Coturnix japonica: one gene and its partners. The protein of the gene in region 3 binds, or shares a complex with, the protein of the main gene of each other region. Links are inferred from orthologs where the notes say so. Each region holds a gene or a part of one and is shown on either strand. Other genes may lie near its edges. The genes, in order: ABI1, CYFIP2, NCKAP1 and WASF2.

The links.
Region 1: NCKAP1 (region 3) and ABI1 share a complex: the UniProt entries of both Homo sapiens proteins name them as parts of the WAVE2 complex. The link is inferred for Coturnix japonica from reciprocal best matches to the Homo sapiens genes NCKAP1 and ABI1.
Region 2: NCKAP1 (region 3) and CYFIP2 share a complex: the UniProt entries of both Homo sapiens proteins name them as parts of the WAVE1 complex. The link is inferred for Coturnix japonica from reciprocal best matches to the Homo sapiens genes NCKAP1 and CYFIP2.
Region 4: NCKAP1 (region 3) and WASF2 share a complex: the UniProt entries of both Homo sapiens proteins name them as parts of the WAVE2 complex. The link is inferred for Coturnix japonica from reciprocal best matches to the Homo sapiens genes NCKAP1 and WASF2.

Annotation. Positions count from the first base shown.
Region 1 is NC_029517.1:14,548,816-14,554,656, forward strand, and holds part of ABI1 (abl interactor 1), read left to right. Parts: intron 1-1,996; coding exon 1,997-2,137; intron 2,138-4,129; coding exon 4,130-4,230; intron 4,231-5,010; coding exon 5,011-5,091; intron 5,092-5,841. UniProt on the Homo sapiens protein: May act in negative regulation of cell growth and transformation by interacting with nonreceptor tyrosine kinases ABL1 and/or ABL2. May play a role in regulation of EGF-induced Erk pathway activation. Involved in cytoskeletal reorganization and EGFR signaling.
Region 2 is NC_029528.1:13,087,679-13,093,519, reverse strand, and holds part of CYFIP2 (cytoplasmic FMR1-interacting protein 2), read left to right. Parts: intron 1-1,174; coding exon 1,175-1,318; intron 1,319-2,595; coding exon 2,596-2,686; intron 2,687-3,317; coding exon 3,318-3,448; intron 3,449-5,841. UniProt on the Homo sapiens protein: Involved in T-cell adhesion and p53/TP53-dependent induction of apoptosis. Does not bind RNA. As component of the WAVE1 complex, required for BDNF-NTRK2 endocytic trafficking and signaling from early endosomes.
Region 3 is NC_029522.1:6,233,297-6,239,137, forward strand, and holds part of NCKAP1 (nck-associated protein 1), read left to right. Parts: intron 1-935; coding exon 936-1,068; intron 1,069-2,553; coding exon 2,554-2,635; intron 2,636-3,043; coding exon 3,044-3,102; intron 3,103-3,898; coding exon 3,899-4,044; intron 4,045-5,220; coding exon 5,221-5,353; intron 5,354-5,841. UniProt on the Homo sapiens protein: Part of the WAVE complex that regulates lamellipodia formation. The WAVE complex regulates actin filament reorganization via its interaction with the Arp2/3 complex. Actin remodeling activity is regulated by RAC1.
Region 4 is NC_029538.1:1,778,473-1,784,313, forward strand, and holds part of WASF2 (wiskott-Aldrich syndrome protein family member 2), read right to left. Parts: intron 2,700-5,841; exon of another isoform or gene 2,573-2,699; intron 2,429-2,572; 5' UTR 2,405-2,428; coding exon 2,275-2,404; intron 1-2,274. UniProt on the Homo sapiens protein: Downstream effector molecule involved in the transmission of signals from tyrosine kinase receptors and small GTPases to the actin cytoskeleton. Promotes formation of actin filaments. Part of the WAVE complex that regulates lamellipodia formation.

The DNA of each region.
Region 1 (5,841 bases), on a different chromosome or scaffold from region 3:
GCCATATTCTGCCAAAGCATGAAATATTATAGGCATGACTGTTTTCCCTAATATATGCAGAAAAAAATGCTAGAAACCGCAAGGATGCTGCTCTTCTCCCTTTCATCCAGAAAACAGAGATAAGCATGTAAAATCAGAACAAGCTTCATATCTAACATGGGCCCTGAAGTACGTGTACGGCATATCCCTCCAAGGCAAGAGCAGGGCAGTCCAAAGTGATACTGGGAAAGTCTTGCTCAGAAACTGTCTGAGCTGTGAAATGAATGAACAGCAGGAACAGGGGCTTTCTGGGGGGCTGCTCAGGCTGGGAGCACTGTGCAGGGGACAAAGCGAGTGAAAGGCTGCAATTAGAGGAGCTGACTGGAGGGAGCAGCTGTACCATGAGGGTACCTGGACCAGAGCATGACCTTGGGCTGCTTTTAGTTCCCCTGTGGCAGTAGGCACTGGGTGTTGGCACTGCTGTGTCAGGGAAGGGTTGCTCTCTCCTGCCATGCAAGATAGGCAGAAAAACAGAGGGATGGGTTGGACTTGCGTGGCACAAAGGAATTATTTTTTAATTCTCTGTGCTTTGGAGTTTGAGTCCTTCAATGAAGTTAAGGAGAACAAGGAGAAAACGGAGTTCAGATGAGCCTGAGGATGTAGCAGGATTTGCTTTTGATAGGATATTGAGATTGGATGGGCAAAATAAATAGCGCTATTGAGCCAAGGGGCTGCATTTCTTATTGCCAGTGCATTCCAAGATAGAATACTTGAAAATGTTAGTGTTCAAGGTTATTTCTGTTGGAAGCACATTTTAAACCTTCTGTGCTTATTATTTCACTTGGCGGTATTTAGAGCTCTATCTCTTATAACTGGAATACAAAGTCACTTTATTTTTCCCAGGACTGATCTCTTCTGATGAGTCTACAGGTGGTGGCAGTCTGCACATCAGAGTCACCTGCAGTTCTTTATATAGACAAACTAATTTACAAACACCATCATTCATACAAACACGTTATTTCCATTTTTCTCCTCAAGAGAGTTTTTAATAGTTAAGTTTTTAGTTAAAATTAAGCACATTTGCATTCTACATTGTTAAAAAGAAGTCGATACATTTCTTAAAATACTTTGAAGCCATATAACTTAACAGCTTGGTTATAACCAGCAATGGAACAAGTGATTAAATGCCAGTAGTTTACTATTTTTGTTTTTGCTTAGCTGGTGTGTTGCCAAGTTCCGTGTCTTGCAAGGGATCTCTTGGTAACTGGTGAGAAATGAAGAGCTCTGCAGCTCAGTACAATACACACACTGTTCTGAAGGCAGAAATGGGGTGGGTAAATAGATCTCAAAAGATCCGTGCTGCATTTCTGAGTTGATGCAGTCTGCTCAATGACCTTGGAAGTCTCTGAGCTTCATTTTCTGTGTCTGTAGAATGGAGACAATGAAGCTGATCTGTGAAGTACTTAAAGATCTGCTTAAGTGATATGCTTGATTACAGCATAAAACAGTGCTGCTAGGAAGAGCGCTGATGATTGCAAATGTAACTTGTTCTGTGAATAGTTTGGACTTACTCCTGTCTTAATGAGTTGAATACCTTCAGCCAAGAATGCTTTTAGGATGGTTGAGCATTTGGAGGAGAGGGGGAGAAAGAGGACATTGTTAAAAGGGAAAGAATTGCTCACATGCAGTGAGAGCAAGATAACCCTGGGATATGGTACAGGTGTAACTGCTGCATAGTATGTAGTTCAAAGCATGTGTTTTTGGTGATGTATTTAACTTAGACTTTTTTAATCAGTTTGTGCTGTAGGCCAGCTTGTAACGCTTTTTCCGCTTTGGAGAGTTGAAGGTGATTTTCCCACCTCTCACTGGTGGAATTTGTTTACTATACTCTACTGTGGGTCACTGTGGTCTCATGTGAAAACAGAAGAAAACAAGTGGCTTCGCTACTTTATGCAGTTATCCTTTTGATCTACTGATTGTTTATCCTTCTGTCTTCAAATCTTTTTCTCCTGACCAGGCGAAATACTCCTTACAAAACCCTGGAGCCAGTCAAACCGCCAACGGTCCCTAATGATTACATGACCAGTCCTGCCAGACTGGGCAGCCAGCACAGCCCAGGGAGAACAGCTTCCTTGAACCAGAGACCAAGAACACACAGGTAGAGTGTTTTTTCTCACTCACACTCCTTCCTGCCTGGCACACTGCTGCTTTCTGAAAATCACAGAAAAGCTTTGAAGCTTAGTGCTATTGGCAGCACAGACTCCATTTGTTTTGTTCTGTGGTACTTTTTTCCCCAAAATAAGCAAAACTTCAAAATTTATGCAGATGAGAAGTCAAGTAGTGATGAGTCCTACTGGGTTGAAAGCTGCCTTGCTAACCTTAGCCTAAAATGCAGTTTTATAGAATAGTTTTTTTGTTGTTGTTTTCAAGTCCACTATTTGCAAAGGGGAAATTCTGTTGATTAAACACTGTGATGAAGGTAGTCTGAAAGAGCCAGTTGCTTTCTTTTGACTGAAACTTAATGCTTGCTTGATAGAAGCGGAATGTAAAGCTTACTCACAAAGCAGGTATTGGCATTAGCCAATTGTTTCCACATGCTGGAGGATTTTGATGAAAGAGTAGTGTGTCCTTAGGTGCAAAAGGTATCTGTGTGTACTTTGTTCTTTTTTTTTTATCATGTAAATTTATTCTCAAACTGCAAGGCTAGATTTTTCTTTGAGCCTCATGAGTGAGTTTGGTTTCCTCAGTTTGACGGTATCAGAACTTTCAAAACTGCAGGAAGAAAAAGCAGACAAAAGAGTTCAGTGTAGCTAAAAATAAATTGGTAGTTTATTTTTCAGAGAGCTGCTTCCTTATTATTTTTTTTTAACACCCTGTAGACAATTAAACACAATTGGTCACTAATTAGGGATTGAGGGTATTTTGGACATGTTGTTCATGAAATACCATTAGAATTAAATAGTATCTAAATCTGGATGCAGTGAAGATCTTGTTAATCTGTTTAGCTGGCTCCAGTGAGTGCTCTCTATACTTGTCTCACATGGTCTGTATTTTGTGTAGACTGCAGTTACGAAGTCAGCTGCAACCATGGTGACAAGATCAAGGTCTTCAGCAACAGCACACTAATTTTGAAGGAATTATCTTGCCTTCGATTTCAGATCACAGATTCTCTTTTTGTGACACTATTATTTTCTTAAGAAATGTTTGAATGATTGGTAGCTAACCAGGAACAGTAAATAAACTGTAAAATCACCGGGTACTTCTTCATTAACATGAATGGGTGAAAGTGTTTTGGCTTCAAGGCATCTTGACTGCTTAGTTCCCTTTATATTATCCATTTAATCCGTGTAAATTCAAGCCTTGGCCTAAGGAATGTTCTTGGGTAAGAATAAGGACAGATGTTGTCTGAACTTTGATTCCTTTTTCATTCCTCAGTGAAAAGAGATGTTTTGGTCTCTGCAGTAGATCACTAAAAGCGTGCTCTGTAAAAATCTGTATTGCTGGCCTAGGACATATTAACAGTACTGAGACAAACTGCCACCTGGATGTTCTGTTATCTTATAGACTATCTTAGAAACAAACTTCTCATACACAAATTGTGTGCATGTGTGTGTGAAGAGGCATATTGGCTATACAGATAATTATTCCTTCCCTTCTCCTGCCCAGCTTGGATAATTGCAGTTGTTCTTAGTGAAAAACTTCTTATTCTAAGCCTCTGTTCTAAGCAGAGAAAAGGTTCCTTCAGCATAATTAATTTTAAATAGTTATTTGTAGTTTAGGCATGAACTCTTCCAGCTTATTGCTTCTAATTAATACGAGGCTCTTGAGCTATTCCTGTAGTTGTTACTCCATTGCCTAAAACTGGTATGGTTGCTTACCTTTTTGTTTTTGAAGTCATATAATTGGACATTTTATGCATAGTTGTGTTCATCAGCTTAGCTAATTCCATTTATTAGGAGTGTAATGCTTCCTGCATAGTTGATTAGCTATTTGAGATTGTAGGTAGAGACAAGGGCGTTTTATGGTGGATTTTTTTATGGTCTGTAATTGAGTTAGACCAGAAGAGTTCACACAAAAAGCGTGGCTATCAACACAGGCTTTTGTAGGAAATGTGTGCTAATACTTGTGTTTTTCCGTTCTTCTCTTATAGTGGTAGTAGTGGAGGAAGTGGCAGTCGAGAGAATAGCGGCAGCAGCAGTATTGGCATTCCCATTGCCGTGCCTACACCTTCACCGCCAACCATTGGACCAGGTAGGAGGGACTCTTCCCATGCTAACTTAAGGCTGTAACGACAGTCACTTATGTCTGTACAAGTAAATAGAGGTTTTTAGCTCAAATGAAATACAGAAGATGACCTACAGAAAATTACCAGTAGTAGAATTCAGACTTGTCAACTGGTGCCATTTATTCTGGTACAGTCTGAAATTGCTAAGCTGTGAGAGAGACCACTGAGAGAAGTGGGAGAACTGGTGTGTATAGCACAGCAGTGAAACAGAGCCATGCAGGATCTCTCAGTGTCTAAAGCATAATTTGTTGTCTTTATGAATGACGACTAGTGGGAATGTGTAGAATCCTTTTTTTATAATTATTGTTACATAGCAGGATTGTCTTGGTGACAAACCAACCATGTCTGTCACTTGTTTACTGTTTGTGACTTTTGTAACAGATTTGTGTTAACTTTCCCAAGAAAGTAGTGAAATTTTGGTGCAATGTATTTTTCTATTGCACCTGTTGAATTTGTTCCTTGGTTCACTTTCTTACACATGTGTAGGTTTTCCTTTCTCTTTCCCAGATGTTTCTGATCCTGCACTGGTCCGAGTAGGCATATATTTTACTATCATCTGTCATCCCATTGAAATAAATGGGAATAAAACCTGCAGATACAGAACCCTTTGTAGGATCAGGGCCTGAGCTTGTTATCAGTTTACTCAAGTTGAATTTTTATATTTATTTGGGAAGCCTATCAAGTTCCCTTGCTTTCTTACCTGCTTTTTAAGTATGTGGCCTAATTGGGAATATAAACTATTTTAGCACACATTTCTGTTCCTCCTCCTCCTGGAGCCCCGCCAGCACCACCACTGCCACCACCTCTCCCGATGGGCAGTCTGATAGGTGAGACTTGTATCAATGCTGAAGTGATTGCAGTCATGCTGCATAATCAATAATCATCTCTTCCTAATGGACTTAGTGAAGCTGTTTTTTCATCTGTACTGGGGTCTACATGATTTTAACACAAAAATCAGTTCTGACGTGATTTTTTTTTTTCTTTAAACAAATCTAATCTCCACTAATTTCCTGTGGTTAAAGCCTCTGAAGGTAAATGTACAAGGTATGGGGAAAAAGCTGCTAGCTGTTTGAAGTCTCTATTCCCAGCAAAGCTAAGGTCCAATCTGTCTGATCTGAAAGAACTCAAAATGAGCTGGAACATTGCCATTCTGCTGTATCACTCTTGCAATTGAAACTAAGCTGCTATGGTTGCACTCTCACTTAAAAATGGTAGCTGATGTGTAGGGTGATGTATGTATCCTATCCTGTGGGAAGAAGGTGACTGAAAAGCAGAAGTGTCTGTCACAGTGGCTTGGGTTTGATCCTGTAATGCTGCAGGCAGATACCAAACTGAAAGACTTTATGATACAAGCTGACAGTTCTTGAAAAAATGCTTCAAACATTACATGTTGCTGTTAGGAAGGGATTTAAAAGCAATAAGTGTAAAACCATGTAGAACTCTCCCTTTCCTATCACAGACTGATGTCAAAATTCATAGATCTTGTTATGAAATCAGCTTTGGAGGCTTTGACCCACGTAACCCTTTGCACTTTCTCTTACTGAAGTGTTAAGAGAAAGTGACTTTGGATGGCACTA
Region 2 (5,841 bases), on a different chromosome or scaffold from region 3:
TCCAGTGTGGTGGTCTCTCAGGTGCCTTGGCCAGAGTTCGTCCCTGGTGCTGGCATGGAAAGGAATCCCTGCAGAGCCGGGTCTGTGGTTGCTGTGGAAGGATGCAGCACACCTTGCTCAGCACCATTTAGACATAACTTGTTTCATTAGTCTTGTTTAAGATCTTTTAGCAATTCTGAGCCAGGGATTTCATCTGTGTTTTGCTGGAAGAGGCACTAATGTGCCAAAGTCTTTCTAAGATTCAGTGCTGTGTACTAGAGCTGTGGTTGTCACAGATCTCCTTGGGGAGGCTGCAGCCCTTCTCTGCTGGGGCTGAGTCATGGTGCCAACACTTCACTTGTAGATGCCAAGCTGAGCATACGGTTTCTCAGCTAAAATCAGTTTTCTTTTTGATTTTTGGTTTCTTTTGCCAGTCACACAAGTGAATTAATTCCCCTTCTTCTCTTCTTCTTACACCAAATGAGTATAAAAAAACATTCTAGTGCCAAAAAATTGTAGTAATTACCATATTTCCAACATTATATTGACAAAATATGTTCCTGGAAGTTGCCTTCTGTTTTCTGCTGCTAACTATTTCCTAATGGCCAGAGCCCCAGGTATGCTCCCTAGACAAGGGTCAGGTTCTTCCCCTTGGGCTCAGTCACATGTAAATATCTCAAGCACCTGTAGGGCTGTACAGGATGCAGAAAAGATCATTTCTGTGTCTCTTCCAACCAGTCTTAGGCTCAGATGCTTTAGTTCCTACTTTTCTTACTGTTCCTCTTTTGAAGCAGGTAGCAATAGGAAAATTCTACCGTTATTCATGTATAAAGCTTTCAGTTTTGGTGGAGAACTTGGATTTGAAGAGGCTAAGGGCCAGTGAACTGAAATCCTTGACTGAAAGTATGTAGGAGAGCAAATTATCTTGGAAATGAAAGTGGTGTTGGCAATGGAGCAGGGTAATAAACCTTGTGACATGACAATTTTCTCAGAGTAGAATACATTTGACTGCACAGAAAGAAGAGCAATCTTTTTGTACCTCAAGAAGTATTGTAAGAAATTTCTTACAGGAATTATTATTTTTCCTGCTTTCCTTCAAAATGATTTCGAGTGATGGAACACAGTAGTACAATAAGAAAATTACTTACAAGTTCTGTAAATGTGCCTAACTGTCACTGTGCTTCTATTTTCTCAGCCTCTCAACATTGCCTACAGTCACATCTATAGCTCCTATCGCAATTTTGTGGGGCCACCTCATTTCAAGACAATCTGCAGGCTGCTTGGCTATCAGGGGATCGCCGTGGTCATGGAAGAGCTGCTGAAGATCGTCAAGAGCCTGGTAATTCTGAGCCAGTAATGCTGATACTGGCAGCAGAGAAATCTTGATGCTTTGAGAGACATGAATTGGAGGGTCAGCCTGTCCTTCAGGTTTTGGTTTGGGTTGTTGAAATATAGGCACCTCTGTGCTCCTTTATCCACACTGCAACACTCATATTCATCGTCTAGTTTCGCTGTTACTAAGGTGGAGGACACAAAACTGATGAAAAAGTGTTTGCAAGGAAATTTCTGTCAGATGTGAGCTCTTAAGAATTCAAGCCATACGTCCCTTTCTATCAGATACGCTGAAGCCAGTCGCTCCATCTGCTTTGTACTGCTCTCAAAAGAGAGATGTGATATCCACAGGGAAGTGCTCCCTAAAGGCACCAACAATACAGAACGTTAACAAGGCAGGAGGGAGAGAGCAAAAATTTATCATTTTTCAGGTCACGCTTTTCTACCCAAAACGATTTTACCAAAGAGAAGACTTCAATTCATTATAAATATTTAAATTCTGTTTTGGCTGCAGTGATTTAACTTTGAACTTATTTAGCAAAGCAGTGCAGACCTGAATCTTAAGCACATACCCAGCTTCTCTGCTGTAAAGCACTGTAGCTATTGAAGATGTAATTTGTGTCATTCAGCTGAAAGCACTGTAGCTGTTGTGTGAGATCAGACAGCATTCAGTGAGAAGACAGAGATCTTGCATTTGGCTAAATTATGTTTATCACATAATCCCATGTAATATGTCTACAAGATGCATTTATATAACTCCAAATGACAGCGAGCATTTTTAACTATGAAATATGCTTTTCCCCATATTAATTCAAAACATCCAATGTGCAGGAACTTGTTCCATGTGTATATATTTTACATTTTTTTAAACTCTCAGTGTCTAGAATCATTCCTCAGGTGGGAAGACCATTTCCTGTGCGGTGGAATGGTTCGTTTAGCAGCTCCAATCCAATGCTTTTTGGGTTAGGAACACAAGTCCAGCTGGATCTACTATGAAGCCTTGTTTGGATTTCAGCTGCAAATAATGCAAACACAATGAGCCATATTTTGAAGTAGAAAATCCATGCAACCATGATTTATTATTCAGGAGGAAGCTGCAAAACTCCTTGCACTTGGGCTGGACTTTATGTTTGGGTGAAATCCAAAGGAAGCAAGTTCTTCTTAGACTCCAACTAAAGTTTCACCCTTTGTTGTCAGACAGAAGTCCATCCACAGTCTGTTCTATTTAAAACCAAGGCCAGAAGAAGCCATCCTTCCAGTTTAACCCCTCTTTGTCTCTGACAGCTGCAAGGCACCATCCTACAGTATGTGAAGACACTGATAGAAGTCATGCCCAAGATATGCCGCTTGCCAAGACACGAATATGGCTCTCCAGGTGGGTGCTACAGTGAGATGTGTCATGGTTTGAGCAAGAGCTCATCCAAATATCAGCATAGCATTTACTCAATTAAACAAGGACAGGTACCCACTGTGCTGGTGCACCATGCAGCCTGGCCTCCCTGTGACACAACTTTCCTGTTACAAATTTCACTTTGAACAGACAGATGATGGATAAGGGTATGTCTGCTGGTTGTTTAGGTTTTGTTTTCAGGATTTTTAAGCTTTTGTTACAGTGGCTTCACTATTACTTTTGAAAAAGCTCTACTTCTTTGATGGAAAGATTTTTTTTTACCGTATGACTGCAGTCTGCAACTCAGCTGGATGTGAAAACTGACTGTTACAAATGAACCAGCACAAAGGCATCCATAGCAGCCTTGAATCTCTTTTTTTCTCCGATGGGGAAATCCAAAGACTTCACAGGAATTACACCCTATTTCTCACGGGTCAGTGAAAGCAGGATGACACGCTGCCTGCTGGTTCTGCTCAGTGCCTATCCCTGTCTATCCACTCAGCAGTCCTTGCAGTTCATGATAAAGGAAACACCAGGCCCTGACTGCCTTTTAATCCACACTACTGAAGGATGTTTTTGCTCTCACTTTTCTGACTGCCCTCCCTTGTCTTTTAAGGAATCCTGGAGTTTTTCCATCATCAGCTGAAGGACATCGTTGAATACGCAGAGCTGAAGACTGATGTGTTCCAGAGCCTCAGAGAAGTGGGCAATGCAATTCTCTTCTGCCTCCTTATTGAGCAGGCTTTGGTAAGGCAACATACCCTGCACCAGCAGATTCCACTTAACATTTCCAGCTCAAGAGTATGAGAGGAAAAGGGTTCTCCAGCAGAAGAGTTGGGGAAATTTTCCAGCTTATCATGTACCCAGGGTCTCTCCAGGGCTCTGCTGTTGTGGTCTGTGGGGATGGTATACATTGGTGCTGGGTCACTGACATCTGGCATTGCTCAAGGAGAATCTGAATACTGGAAGATCCAGATTTAATTCTTGGACACAAAGCTATCCCATGTTTGTCCATCTCAGAAATAAAAATCAACTGGAGCTTATTTGTAGATTGTAAGCTCTTTGGGGCAGGGATTGTTACTTTTTCTAATACCCATACGGTAAGGAGTATATTTGAGCCCTTGGCTCTCTTTGGAGTGGTAGTACAATGGAAAAACTGGTTGGTTCTAATGACAGTAAAGATAAAGCAATATGAAAGGAAGGAAATCTCAGAAGAGATTATATTTCCTATGACTTAATCTTCACCAAAAACTTAGCTGGAGTGATGACATGACATTAGCCCTTGCACAAGCATCTTGTGCATGCACAAGTCTCGCAGCCTCTTAGCTCACGTGATGCCAGTTCTAACCTAAGTGGGCTGGTATGGGGCAAAGGCTATCTATGGCTGAATGCAACACGTTACAGCCAACTGAGGAGTTGCAAAAACAATCCAGTTTTGCATTAAGATGCATGTTCCATGTTATAGTTTAGACAGAGTTGTGTCAGATCTTTCAGAAGTTTTTTCATAAAGCCTCCTTGAGCACACATGGGATTTCCAAGCAAAGCCATCAGATTTTGTTCAGAGTAAAAACCAGAAGAAAGTTCAAAGATTCCAAGTTTACTCAACTACAGAACACAGGGAAAAATGAAAATCTCTGCAAATAACCCCAGTAGAAAGGCTTCTAGTTCCTAATGTGGTATTTCAAACATATTTGAAAAGCAATAGTTGCATAAGATTTAACAAACAGAGATATATATATCACCTAGCAGCTTGGCTTTATCTAACAGAATGACCAGACAGTATCCTGGCAGTTTATGTTTCTTTTGTGGCTTTGTCACTGCTCTCTGCTGTTCTGTGCTGAATTTTATGCTAGATGTACTGCATTTGCCTTTTATGTCCCATCTTTTAAATGGATGCATAAGGGACACATGGTGGTTTCTGTTAGAAATCCCCATTTGACTGCAAAAATGTTCCTCCTGTCTCTAGAGCTGTACGTTGGCAATATAATAACATCCTAGAATAGCAGAAAATAAGGGAGACAGTGAGACATTGGGATTCTTTCTAGAAAGACTACCTGTCCAAGTCCACATCTGCCCACCTTCCATGTTCTCAGTTCTCAGTTCTACACAGAAATTGATTCAGAATATAAAGCAGTTTTGCACGTAGCAGCCACTGGTTCTCGCTTGCTGGAAGGCTGTCATATACTTAGAGCCACTGCATAACAAGATTTTCCCTCTCTGTGCAGAAGGAGCAATTACTTTTATGGCACAGTTATCTTCATAGCTGTCAGCCTAATCTAAGGCCAGTGGTATTTGTCAGCAGAGGCTGCTCTAGTGAAGATTAGAAGTCTGCTCCAGTTTGCCCCCCTTTTTATTGTTTAAATATGAGGAATGAAATGTTGCTTGGGATTAAATTTCTAAGAGTTCTTACTCTCAGGTAATGGGCCTTGGGGAGAAAGAAATTTTGAAAGAGATGCCAGGTGTATGCAGCCTGCAAATGCAGAAAGTACTCTCTTTATCAGAGGGAAAGAGGAGTGAAACAATATTGATCCAGGAAGAGTCCTTTGCAAACAGAATCACAAAGATAATATGCACACTCTGGTAGTATCATGCCCGTGGAGGGGCATGGGCTGTTCCTGTCCCTTCAGCACTGTGTCACAAACTGCACTCCTACAAACTCGCTCTCATGCCAGCATCCATGGCACCAGTGCAGCCTCCTGCAGCTCCATGCTACTCCGTCCTCTGCCTTGGGGCTGGGAGGAGGGGTACCCACCCATGCACCCCAACCAGACCCAGCTGAGTCATTCCATCTGGCCCTGAAAATCTTTTGCTGCTCTGTCATGACCTCCTCTCAAGTGTGTCTAAATCTCTCTGGTAAGCTCACAACTGCAAGCATGTCCTAGAACAAGAGTTTTGCAGGAGCAAACTACTGCCGTGTTGTTACGCAATGCCTATGTGTTGAACAGCTTTAGTTTTCCTTGCTGCTGTTTCCCATTGCAGACTCGTATATGATGTATTGTCAGCCATCGCTCCTCAGTCTCCACCTTTCTATTTCTAGGTTTCTCCTTGTGCATCTATGTTTGGGATTATTTTTTCTCTAGTGCATTGGCATGCATCCTCTCAGGTGGCATCTCATGATGTTATTACTCTCTGCACTTCTG
Region 3 (5,841 bases):
TTTAGCTCAAAGAAGGGAGGGAGGGGGGTGTGAACGTAGATGGTCACTAATGAATGGGAAAACAGACTGTTCCAGAGATGGATTTGTAGAATGTCTCCTTTATCATAGCAGAGCTGTCATTTAAATCAGATAATCAGGTTTGTTTGTATAATATATGTTTGGTGTTTTCATAAACAGGAAGTAAAACTGAGTAATAAGATTAAGAAATCTCATGAGCGTGAGTAGACTGAAGGGAGCTGGTTGTTCATGCAGAGTTTTTGAGATAAGGGAGCACAGAAGTTTGATCTTGGGAATAAAGTCTGACAGCATATCCACTTGTCTGATTGTTTCTCACAGAGTACTGGGTTTAGTCTAAGAAACCATCAGTCTAATAATTGGGAGAGCGTTTTAAGCTTTCATTTTCAGCTTTGGTAGTGTTGCTTATAGAATATTGCCCAGTGTTAACTACTTTAGTTTATTAATGACTACACAAGGAGTGATGAGCATTATCTTCTGTGCAGTGCTTTCAGCAGAGGAGGGCACCTTAACCTCTTGTGAAGTTATGGGTTTTTAGAATAAAGATCTTCTGACTTGAGCTGAAATCAGCAATTATTACAGCTCTGATCTTCAGTTTTAACTGCTTTAGCTTTTTTTAATTGGCCATTACAAAAGGGCTTCTTCAGAAAGGAATGGGTAGTTACAGGGACCTTTTGAGTATTACTGTGAGGGGGATCCTGTTGATATATTTACAAGTGAGTGGGTTTTACCTTACAGAGAAAATTTCTATGAAAACATTATATAATGTGAGATGATGCTGAATACAAAAATTACCTGTAAGTAATAGTTTTTAAAGCAAGGTTTAGGAGGCAATCCCCATGGGAAGCATTGCACTGATAGGAGCATTTAATATTGTTTATACTTTGTGTTTGTAAGCCTTCCCTTGCCTTCCTGCACAGGCACATAGCTGAGCTGATATTCTACATGGAGGAGCTCAGAGCACACGTGCGCAAGTACGGGCCCGTGATGCAGAGGTACTATGTACAGTATCTCTCTGGCTTTGATGCGGTGGTCTTAAACGAGCTTGTTCAGGTATGGCAAGACCATGGTTTGGGTTCTGTTTTTTGTTTGGTCCAAAATGTCTTCATGAATCTCTATTTGGTTTTGTGGATTTTTGATAAATGTCATGGGATAAGGCCAAGTATCTGAGCTTACTGCTTAACTCTAGGGTTAAATAAACTCTAAGTAACACCCTTAATTCTGTTCAATGCTTCTGCTGTCTGACGCAGTGGAGAATATAGGGCCTGTGTCATTTACCAAGTGGTGGCAAGTGAAACAGGGAGCAACAAGAATCCCTTGGTATTCTTTTGTAATATATTCAATAAATGGATGGCTTCTCTTGTTCAGCGTCAGTGTATTGAAGAAGTGATTGAAGTATTTGAGATCAGTGCTGTATCATTCCAGTAAAGAGATACCAGTCTGCATCACTGTTTGCTCAAAGCAAAAAAGTAATGGTCAGCTGAGGTAGCTTCATGTGTTTAAATAACCTAAATACGAAGTCAGGTATTTGTAGGTGTCACCGGAGACTTTTTTACTGTGGTCTACTGTTCTCATCGCTGCAAGTGAATATACACTGTGGAGCTTCTGAGCTGCCCGGGAGTTGATGTAGTGTCACTTAGCTGGTAAATTACTAGCAGGATTTCTGAGCTGCTTTGATGACGTTTCTGAGCGGCCACGAGGTGGCGCCCAAATGTAGTGAACACAGGAGCTACTCAAACTGGAGAAGCTTCTATTGAGTATGAAGCTATTTTGCTGTTTACAGAAGGAACTTTGATATGTGAGGTAGTACATCAGTGACCAGAAGGGGGAGCTTATCTCCTCTGCTGTTCATTTTAACATGCAATTGAAACAGTTGATTTATTAGTTTATATTACTGTAGTCTAAAATGTGAAATGTAACTGGATCCTTGGTTTTACTTTTATATGAGCCTTAAATTCAACATAAATAAGATCTTAACAATCACTGAAACTGCTTCTTTGTAAATTTCTCCTTTCTAAAGGAGATTCTAAATTTGAAGGATTTCTAAACATGGCAGACTGTCTTTAGGGTGCTTTAAGTCACTCAAGTCGATGTTAGTAGAAATCTGTTGATGGATGGTCCTGTGGGAAGCCTAGTGATTCTGAGCTGGGCTCTGCTGAATTTTCTGAGCCCAGCTGAATTTCAGGTGCCTATAGAAGTCTGAAAAATGTTTGGTGTCTCTAGTATAGCATAAATATGGTCCCTGTCCATTTTGTAAATGACAACAGCCTGAAAATGTGTGGGAATGGCTACTGACAGATTTTTGTCTTCTGTGGCCAAGTTGTTTGGAAGCAACCTTTTGTGGGTAGAGTCATTAACCAATGAACTGGAAAATAGAACTTGTTAATTCTCACTATTTGAAACTCTGTTGATTAAGTTACCTTCTGTAAAGTATGTAGAACATACTATCAGATGACTGATGGTAATTTGTCATAAATTTTGACAGTCTTTTATAAATGAGATTTGAAATAATAATAATAGTAACAACAATTATTTCAGAATCTTTCAGTGTGCCCAGAGGATGAGTCCATCATCATGTCCTCCTTTGTAAACACTATGACTTCGCTAAGCGTGAAGCAAGGTGAGTCTATTCCTATGAGTGTGGGGGAAAATGGGAACCAAATCAAATGTTCCTCTGGAAGGCTTCATGGCTTTCTGTTATGTGCAATCAGAAGTAGCAGATAAATGGCATAAACTCAACTGATTTCCTTGTTTCTTTTCCTTTATGGTATCTGCTTCTCGCTCTGTGTCCTTTTTCTGTTACTTAAGGCTTCTAAAAAAACTATTTGAAGAACGCTAGCTTTAATTTAGAGAGGATATTATATGTATCCATATTTAAATATTTCAGTTCCTGTTAGCATGGTTGTGCTGGATTGAAGTTATCAGGTAAAAGAGGTTCAAAACCCAAGTAATTTTAGTGTTTTTGAATTGCTGTTGTTACCTTCCTTGAGTGTTTACGTTTGGTATTTTGCTTTTGTTTTTATTTCAGTTGAAGATGGAGAGGTATTTGACTTCAGAGGAATGAGATTAGATTGGTTTAGATTGCAGGTAAGACTTTGTATGTCTGCATGGAATTTAACAAATCCCATTTTGGTTTCAAGATATTATTCTCGTACTGTTAATGCAAGTAGGTGACAGGCTGTATAAGGATATTCTTCGCAATTAAAACTCAAAGAAACTCACAGGACAATTTTCTGCTCTCTGGTGTAACTTCGTTTTTACCTTTGCATTGCTGCCTATTTTTTGCAAATAATTCTTTGGAGAATTATAACCATTTGGAAATGGAATGTGTTGTGGAGGAGGGGGCTGTTGGCAGCTGTGTGCTGTGCAGAATATGATTCAGCCTGCCCAGCTAAGGAAAGGTAGAGGCTGCTCGGCAAGAGAATGTTCAGTGAGATCACTTGTGTTGGGGTTACTCTGTCTCCAGTTCACACATTAAAAGGGTGAGAAATGTTTTGGCAATATCAATATTAGATAGACATGGTATTTTCTCATATTTGAAAAATACACTTTTTTTCCTCTTGTGTACCAGAGCATGAATATTACAAAGTAGAGGGGCCGGTTCTCTAAACTTGATTCCACTAGTGTGCATAAGTGTTTTGTCAGTGTTTTCCTGCCTCTCTTCATCTGTGCCTTGCTGTCATACTCAAGACATCTGGAGACTTTGCTGGAAGGTGGTTTGCTTTCCTTAAAGTACAGTAGAATGTTAAAATGGGCTGTGTGAAGTTGTTACATACACTTGTTCTCTGCATAGCGTAATCAGTGCTTAACCTCCGTGTTGGGCAATAGCAATGAAACTAGAAAATAAACCTGCTGCTTTTTTTGCCTTCTTGTTTCTGTCCAGGCCTACACCAGTGTCTCTAAAGCTTCTCTTGGACTGGCAGACCACAGGGAGCTAGGCAAAATGATGAACACAATCATTTTCCACACAAAAATGGTAGATTCTTTGGTGGAGATGTTGGTTGAGACCTCAGATCTTTCTATATTCTGGTAAGTTACAAAGCTGAGCTCATATTTTTGTTAATTACTGTTGGATTTTTATCCTTGCAAGTTTAACTTTTAATTAATAAGCTTCATAGGATACTTCAGTGGGAGACTCGGATGAAGTTCTGGTTAGTTGTTATTTCTGAGATGGTTGGTGTTCTAGAGTTTGGGGTTTATTGATTTGTACTTTATTTTGTACTAACCTTAACACCAAGTTTGTCTGCCTTTGGTTTCAAAGAACAGCATCAGTCCACAGAATTGCTCATTGGCGTATGTAGTGTAGCCTGATGAGCTTCAATAGGGGACTGTACATTGTTCATCCATGAACTTTCCTGTTCTGGAAAAGAAAAAGCAGTTGATTCCCTTCTTCTTCTGCTCCCAAGCAGGAAGAGCCAGCCTTGCGTTGTCACTTCTGTAATGGTTTTTCATAGTTAGCTTTTTTTTTGTGTGTTTGGCTTTTTTTCTTCTTTTTCTGAGTTTGGAAAAAGGAAAAGAGTAAGGATCAGGAAGCAGACAGATGGGAATCTTTCTCTGACTGCTTAAGGTCAAATAATTAAACACTATCTGCAGTAGAAATAAATCATTGTGAGTCCCAGTGTGAAAATACTGTCCTTGGAGAAGCTTTCTCAGTAGTACTTTAGGTGGTTCTTTTTCAGTTTGAGATGGAGAAAACGCAAACTAATCAGGGCTAGAGTTATTGGTGAAAGTTGTTTTCATATGGTTGTCATGTTTTTGTTGAAAGAAGATTCATGTACTTTTTCTCTTTTTGTATGTTATTTTTTTCTGAAGCTGACTTAAAAAGTAGCAGCTGTGGAATACGTGCTGTCGTAGTGTTTGCCTGAGTTAGTTTGGAGTTATTTCTGAAGGTCTGTCAGAGGTTGTTCAGACACTCACATAACTGATCAGGGGTCATTTATGAGTTCTTATGTAACGAATTCTAGCAAAAGCTGCAAATCCTTGTGGTGCCCATGTGTCAAACATCAGAATAAAATTGGTATCATAACAAGAGATGCAAACAAAATGGGTAAGAAGTGAATGTCTTCAAAAGCATGATGCGCTTTCTGTTATCACGTATGTTATAATGACATACCTGGCATTAGCAGTGCGTTTGATTTGTGTAAGTAGACTTTATTTGCGGCAGAATTACGCATGTATTGCATTAAATTGTCTATTTCTGATCAGTTTTTATAGTCGTGCTTTTGAGAAGATGTTTCAGCAGTGTTTGGAGCTTCCCTCTCAATCAAGATACTCGATTGCATTCCCACTCCTTTGTACTCATTTTATGAGCTGCACCCACGAACTGTGCCCAGAAGAGGTAATTTTTTTATACAATGTCTTGGATACTGTCAGCTCTGGCTTAAAAATAGAAAGTACTGGTGCTCAGGGCTGCAAAGTATTTGTAGCAGCATAGGATTAGAGGAAGGAGAGTGATGAAAAAGGACAAGTTCAGCACTTGACTGTGCTTGGGATTGTTTCCTGAAGTATGATCCTCTTAGCTTTAAAAAGAGGTTGAGTTCAGGTACAAAGGTGAAATGACATTTCCAGGTCACTCAGATTTGGGTGCAGATATGTGTTGTATGCCTGCTAGAATTTCTAAGCTGTGTTTTTTCTTTCATAGTTTATAAACTCATAGTTTGAGAAGTTGAATAGTAAGTTGGGAGCTGAGGTTGTTAAGGACTCAGTAACGTGCTGATTGTCACTCCAGTTGTGGATGTGAATGAGCTGCAGAACAATGTGTTTATGTTTCAAGCAGTGTGGAACTTAGAGGAAAGAGACAACAAACTTCTATTCTGTTTTTTTTAA
Region 4 (5,841 bases), on a different chromosome or scaffold from region 3:
GACTGCAGCCATGGAGACCCAAGGGCTGGATTGCACTCACTGCAGCCACGTTTCACCAAGCACTCTGTGCTCACCATCAGCACCAGCTCTCCTGTTTGACCAAAGGAAGTGAACACTTACCTACGTGATCATTTGTTGCCCCTCCCAGCAACAGCCCACAGAGCTGTAATTTGGTTCTGTGTTAATGAGAACCGAGAATCAGTTCCAAATCTCACCAGGAACTGCAACAAGTAGAAGGGAAGATACCAAGTTTGTGGTGCTGAGCTGCATGTTTCAAGCACAAAGAGCACTGCACGTGGTGTCCTTAGCCCCGTAAGCAGCAGGGATGGTTGGTGTTCCCTCACCTGTCTAAGTGCATCAGTCCTGAGTTACCATTCAGGATCTGGCATACGCTTCAGTGCTCCACGTGCAGTTTTAGATGGGGAAAGGCAGAGATTCATTTTTGGTCTCATTACTTTGACTGTTGCAAAAGTGCAACTCACAATCAGAATGATCTCTGTCACGCACTGGCAGGAAGACAGGCGGTGTGATTCAATAGGTCTCTCCATCTTTAGCTCGTGCATTCCATAGCACTGCACAGCCGGCTTATACAGAGCGCTACCAGCTGTGATAGTAACGAAGGGTAAACTCACTGGAATATGAAAGTTTGACAAGATTTATGTTTGCATCTTTGTAAAGAGACTGTGGTGCAGCAGGCATGGCTGATTATTCACTTGACAGAGCTGTCACAGCCTACTGAACCTGCTTCGCATTCCCTCAACGCTCAGCGTACGAAGGAGGAGTGGATTTCTTCCTCCAAAGTAAGAGAGGTAAAGGAGGGGGGCAGGACTTTGGTCAGCTGGCTGCGAGTGCTGTGCAGCACCGAGTCTAAATAGCTTCATTTAAAGCACCGCTGACCACAGGGATGCGGATAAGGGATGGTGCTCATTATCCCCCCACATGCCCTGCTCTCCTCCAGGTACCTGGCTGCATGCAGCTCCCTCCCTGCACCACGCAGATATCACAGGGCACCTTCCTAGCAAAGGAGCCTGGCTGCAATGTGGCTCCCAGTGCTTCACTGTGTCCAGCTGAGGCAGCCATGGAGAAGCTTTGAATATCTGAGCTTTGCAAAGACGGCCTAAATCTGCAGGATCTCACCAGGGCTCTGTCACACTAACCCGCTGCATGCCTTTGGACTGGGATTAGCTTTCTCTGCAGCTGAGATCTGCACAGCTTTACTGCCTCCTTCCTCCTCATTTCACATGCACGAGATGGATTCTCCTCGCATTCCACAACCATCTTGGCTACCAGAGCCACCAAACGACCAACAGGGGTCAGTGGGATGTGAGCGGATGGACGGGTCCTGCCCGTGCAGTGACATTTCCACAGCCCAAAACAGAACGTGACACCGACTGGCAGCCATCACAGGCCCCGATTTCAGTTGCAGCCATGGCTTTCACTGCTGGAAAGAGGCTGTAGCTGAGGCTTTCCTGCCACACGAGGCAAGGGCCTTACATTGCAGAGCAAGCACAAGTGCTCGCAGACACCACCAATAAGCTCAACAATATGAGTTGGATTCTCATAGTCTCGCTTCAAGGGCAGAGGCGGCTAATCAGAAGCCAGAGCATTTCAAGAGAGGACGGAGCCATCCCACAGAGACCACCATTAACTCTTCTCTCCTCCCATGCCATGCAGGCCCATGTTTTCCCTATAGCCTTTCCCAGGCTATGGGGCAGCTCACCGGAGAGCTGAGCTCGGTGCTGCCGTCTGTGCGAGCAGCCCTGAGCCCCCTGTGCTCCAAAGGCAATGCTTGGGGACTTTGGGTCTTCCAAGGTAGCACACAGCAGGGGCCAACAGGCTGCTTCTGCACGGGCGCTTTAATTATCCTTCATTAAAAAGAAGACTACTTACACACCATAGCTTCGGCACAGTCAAGCTCCATTTAGTAGCGCACGCAATTAGAGGCACATTCTCTGACACAAGATCCTGGCTGCTCCGAGAGCCTCCCATTTTACAAGGCTGAGTTGTGCTCCATCCTTCCATCTGCAGCTTTGCTGCAGCCTCGCACACACGCACGCACACACATGCGCACACCCCCTCCCCAGTTTCTTCTAGCTGGGGAAGGCGGTGGGACCAGGGATATGAAATTAGCATCGCATTTCTTTAGGAAAACATTTTAGCATTACCCGGGGAAGGCAGATGGGGGAGAAATAGGAACACAAGAGTAGAAAGGGAGCTAAATAAAGAGCACTAGCGACTCCTGAGGGCAACGCGCAGGCTCGCCATGGTACTCACTCAGGCTGCCCAGCTGTCGAATGACATTTGCCAGGGTGATGTTGGTCATGCATTCCAGCTCGCTTCGAACGCTAGGCAACGTCTGACGGCACAGGTGCCTTGGCTCAATGTTCCTCGTTACTAACGGCATGGTGGACCTGCTTCAGGCGCTGTTCTGAAAGATGAAAAACAACCCAAAAAAGAAACAGGAAAGGATTACTCAACCGCAAATTCCAGGCACACCAGAGCCGTGGTGTTCGTTTTTCCTGCTCTCAAATGGCTTTATTTATAAGCCTCCTTTCCCCCTCCCTTCCCCGACCTTATAATACTGGTCCTTCAGAAATAAAGATCCCGCTGTTCTGTGACTCGGTGACAGCACAGTCCCACCAGCTCAGGTATGGAGGCAGACATGGAAAACTACCCAGCTTCACCCACACATGAGGTGCTGCCGGCATGGCCGTCACCATTCCCTTCCTACCCATCCGCAGCCTCCTTCCTTCCCCGCTCACACACAGCATCAAGCCTTAAAACCCTCCTTCAGGAACACGTTCAGCTGGACACGGATGGCTTTGCTTCGTGGAGGGCAGGAGGTTGGGGGGGGAACAAAGCACGGCTCCTCCTGCAACGCGGCTCTGCTGGAACAACAGGAAGCGCTCGCAGCTGACCAGGAAACTTTGTGCCGGCTGCTCCTCATCCTGCAGGCTGCACCCTCAGGAAATGCCCCAGGGCTCAGGTTTACACTGAGCCATTGTTATTGTGCTGGGGCAGTTTAACCATCAAGGAACCCGAAGTGAAGGAACCCTAAGCAGGACCAAGAGCTTTACAGCTGCTCAGCCCTACCAAGGGACTAAACTCTCCTTTGCCAACAGGCCGAAGCGTCCAAGCAACGAACATCCCTCTTGTAGTGTCTGCCCCTGTAATGATGCCCTGTTGGTAAGCAGAGCTCGGAGCACAGGCCTGAAACCTTCGAAACTCAGGGAAAGCAAATCCAGCCCAAGTCGGTGATTAATTTAGAAGGGGAAAGAATCGCTTTTCTAGGTCAGCTGAGGAGCAGCCCAAGAGAAGCAGCCAGCTCCCATGTGATAGGCATGCTGAGCTGCAAGGGCTGGGTGTAAAAATAAAACAGGAAGCTAACAGCTTGGGGAACATGGCTTCCTGTCACCAACAGCAAAAAAGCAAGAACCATAAAAAATCAGCTGTTTGCTCTTGACTTTGAGCCACCCTTTGATAGTCTCTGTGGCAGCTGGCAGCTTATCTTTGAGGTCCAGGAGTCCTTCCTGGATGCTTTTCTATCAGGGTGTTAAGAGGAAGAAGTGGGCATTATCCCTCCTAATTACCTCACGAGCCAGATTTTGAATTGCTAAATGTGACCCATTAAGGCAGAGGAGTTGGAGTGCTGCAGCGCTGGGCTATCTCCTGGCCCAGCAGATGGAGGATGCCATTTTGAGCCAGGCACTGCGAGCACACAGCCCTGCACCAGGGACAGGGCCCCAAACCATAAACCTCGGAGCAGAAGGGAGCAGGGTTTGACGCCAGGTAAATAAAAGCTGAGCTTCTCCAAGGACTGAGGTCTGTGCTGCTCTTCGCCGTGTCCAAGCGCTGCAGCAGCCACTGTAACTGCTGAGATATATAAAGAACAGGGTGAACCAAGGAAGGACTCTGACCTTCGCTTCCAAACACCCCGTGTTTTATTGATTACAGCCCAAGCCCTGCAATCTTTTGCCAGCTTTAGCGCTTCAAGCCAGACAAAGTTTCCCAGCTCCCCCCAGACTGCAGTCTGCAGCTCTCATAAACAAGGCAGCATTTGCAGGCTGCCTGCATCCAGCTTCTCCCTCGTGCTCCCCAGGGCTCGGTGGGATCTGCAGAGCCGGGACAGACACCAAGCCTGGGCTGGATGGGAGAGATGCATATGGAATAAAGGGAAGCAAAATAAACCACCAGCACAAAGAACAACCACTAAAGATGGTAGGTGTGCTGGGTCAGAGAGGAGCACTCATTGCTGCATGTAGAAGAGGGCAGAAAGATGGACTACCACCCCCAGATACCCCTGCAGAAACACCAGCCTGAAATACACCTATACCTTGTCTATACCCTTTCCCTACCCAAAAGGGTTTGGCTTCTAAGCCTGTTCTGCAACTCAAGGCAATGAGTAGCGGTGCAAATCGCCTCTTTACAACTGCACTGCACAACTCCGGCACCAATCTGCACCGGTGCAAGACAGCCAGCAGCGATAAGGGCTAAGAAAAAACACTCCCTTTATAGCCTGGCTCATCCTTGCAGCCACCCCCTCCCTCCCAGCACAGCCTGCCACACTCCACTGCAGAATCAAGACTTTCACCTTTGTGATGGCTCCGACAGCACAGCACGGCAGCGCTGCTTCTTCCCAAGGCAACAGGGCCGGCCCTGCTGCCCCTAACCCCAGCCAGGAGCAGCAGTGAGACGTGAAGGCATTAACCCTGCAGAGCAATGGAGATGAGCGAGGCAGGAAGGATGGGGTGGCAGCAGGCAGACAGCCCTGTGCTCCTGCAGCAGTGATGGGATGAGAGGCACTGAAAGCAACACTCCATGACCCCTTGTCTTTGAGATTTACAGCACAGACAGAGGAAATCTGGGACCCACAGAACCAGTAATAACAGCAGGGCCCCCACAAGAAGGCACTGCCCTGGTGGACATCCCTTTTCTCCATCCATGGTGGGGAGCTGCAGAGATAACAGCTAATGGGCTCCTGTAAAACCTTCATGCCTCACGAGTAGGTGGGACAAAGATTAATAGTCTTGGATTGGAAAAGAAGTGGCGTGTTTTGAAAGCAGCAGCCGGGAGGGGCAGGAAATAAAGCGTGGAGAAGGGAGAAGGTCTGAGAGCAGAGAGAGAAGGAGGAAGCTGAATGCAGGAGACAGCACGAGGTGTGCGGCTGGGGGCAGGGGAGGGACACAGGAACAAGGAAGGGACAGACAGAAAAACAGCCTGCCAGGAGGTTCTTGCTTTTCTCCTTTAAAAGAGTCATTAAGAAGCTGAGTGACAGCACGCTACCAGCAAGGGCCATCCAGAGCTGCTCTGCTTTCCGTAGTCAGGGCATGACAGCACAGCAGTTTTCCACCCCAGCCAGCCAGAGTGGCCAGCAGGCATTAGTCACTGTCACGTAACCACTGCAGACTGGGTATTAGAACTAAATCCTACCATTCAGGAGCGAGTCGAATGAACTGCGAGGCCAATAATAATAATTAATAATAATAAAGCAACACTTATCTTTGGGGTAAAGACGAGCCTTTCCATTCGCTCGTTAACGCTGAGGATCTGGTTTGTTGTCATGTTTGGGGTGCAAACAGCACCTCCCCAACCTTGCTGCAAGCAGGGAGGACATAGAGTGTGGTACAAGTGAAACATGACTGTCTGCAACAGCTTTGGAATGAATATGGAGGGGGGAAAGAAAAGCAAGGCATCAAAGTGAAGGCAGCTCGAGCTGGGAGTGAGGAAGCAGAGTGGAAGGGAATGGTGCTGGTGCTGCTCCTGTGCCAGATCCACCAACACTGCTGCACCCACAGATGCTCAAAATGCCCGTCCTGCCACCCGCTGTGCTGCTCTGCAATA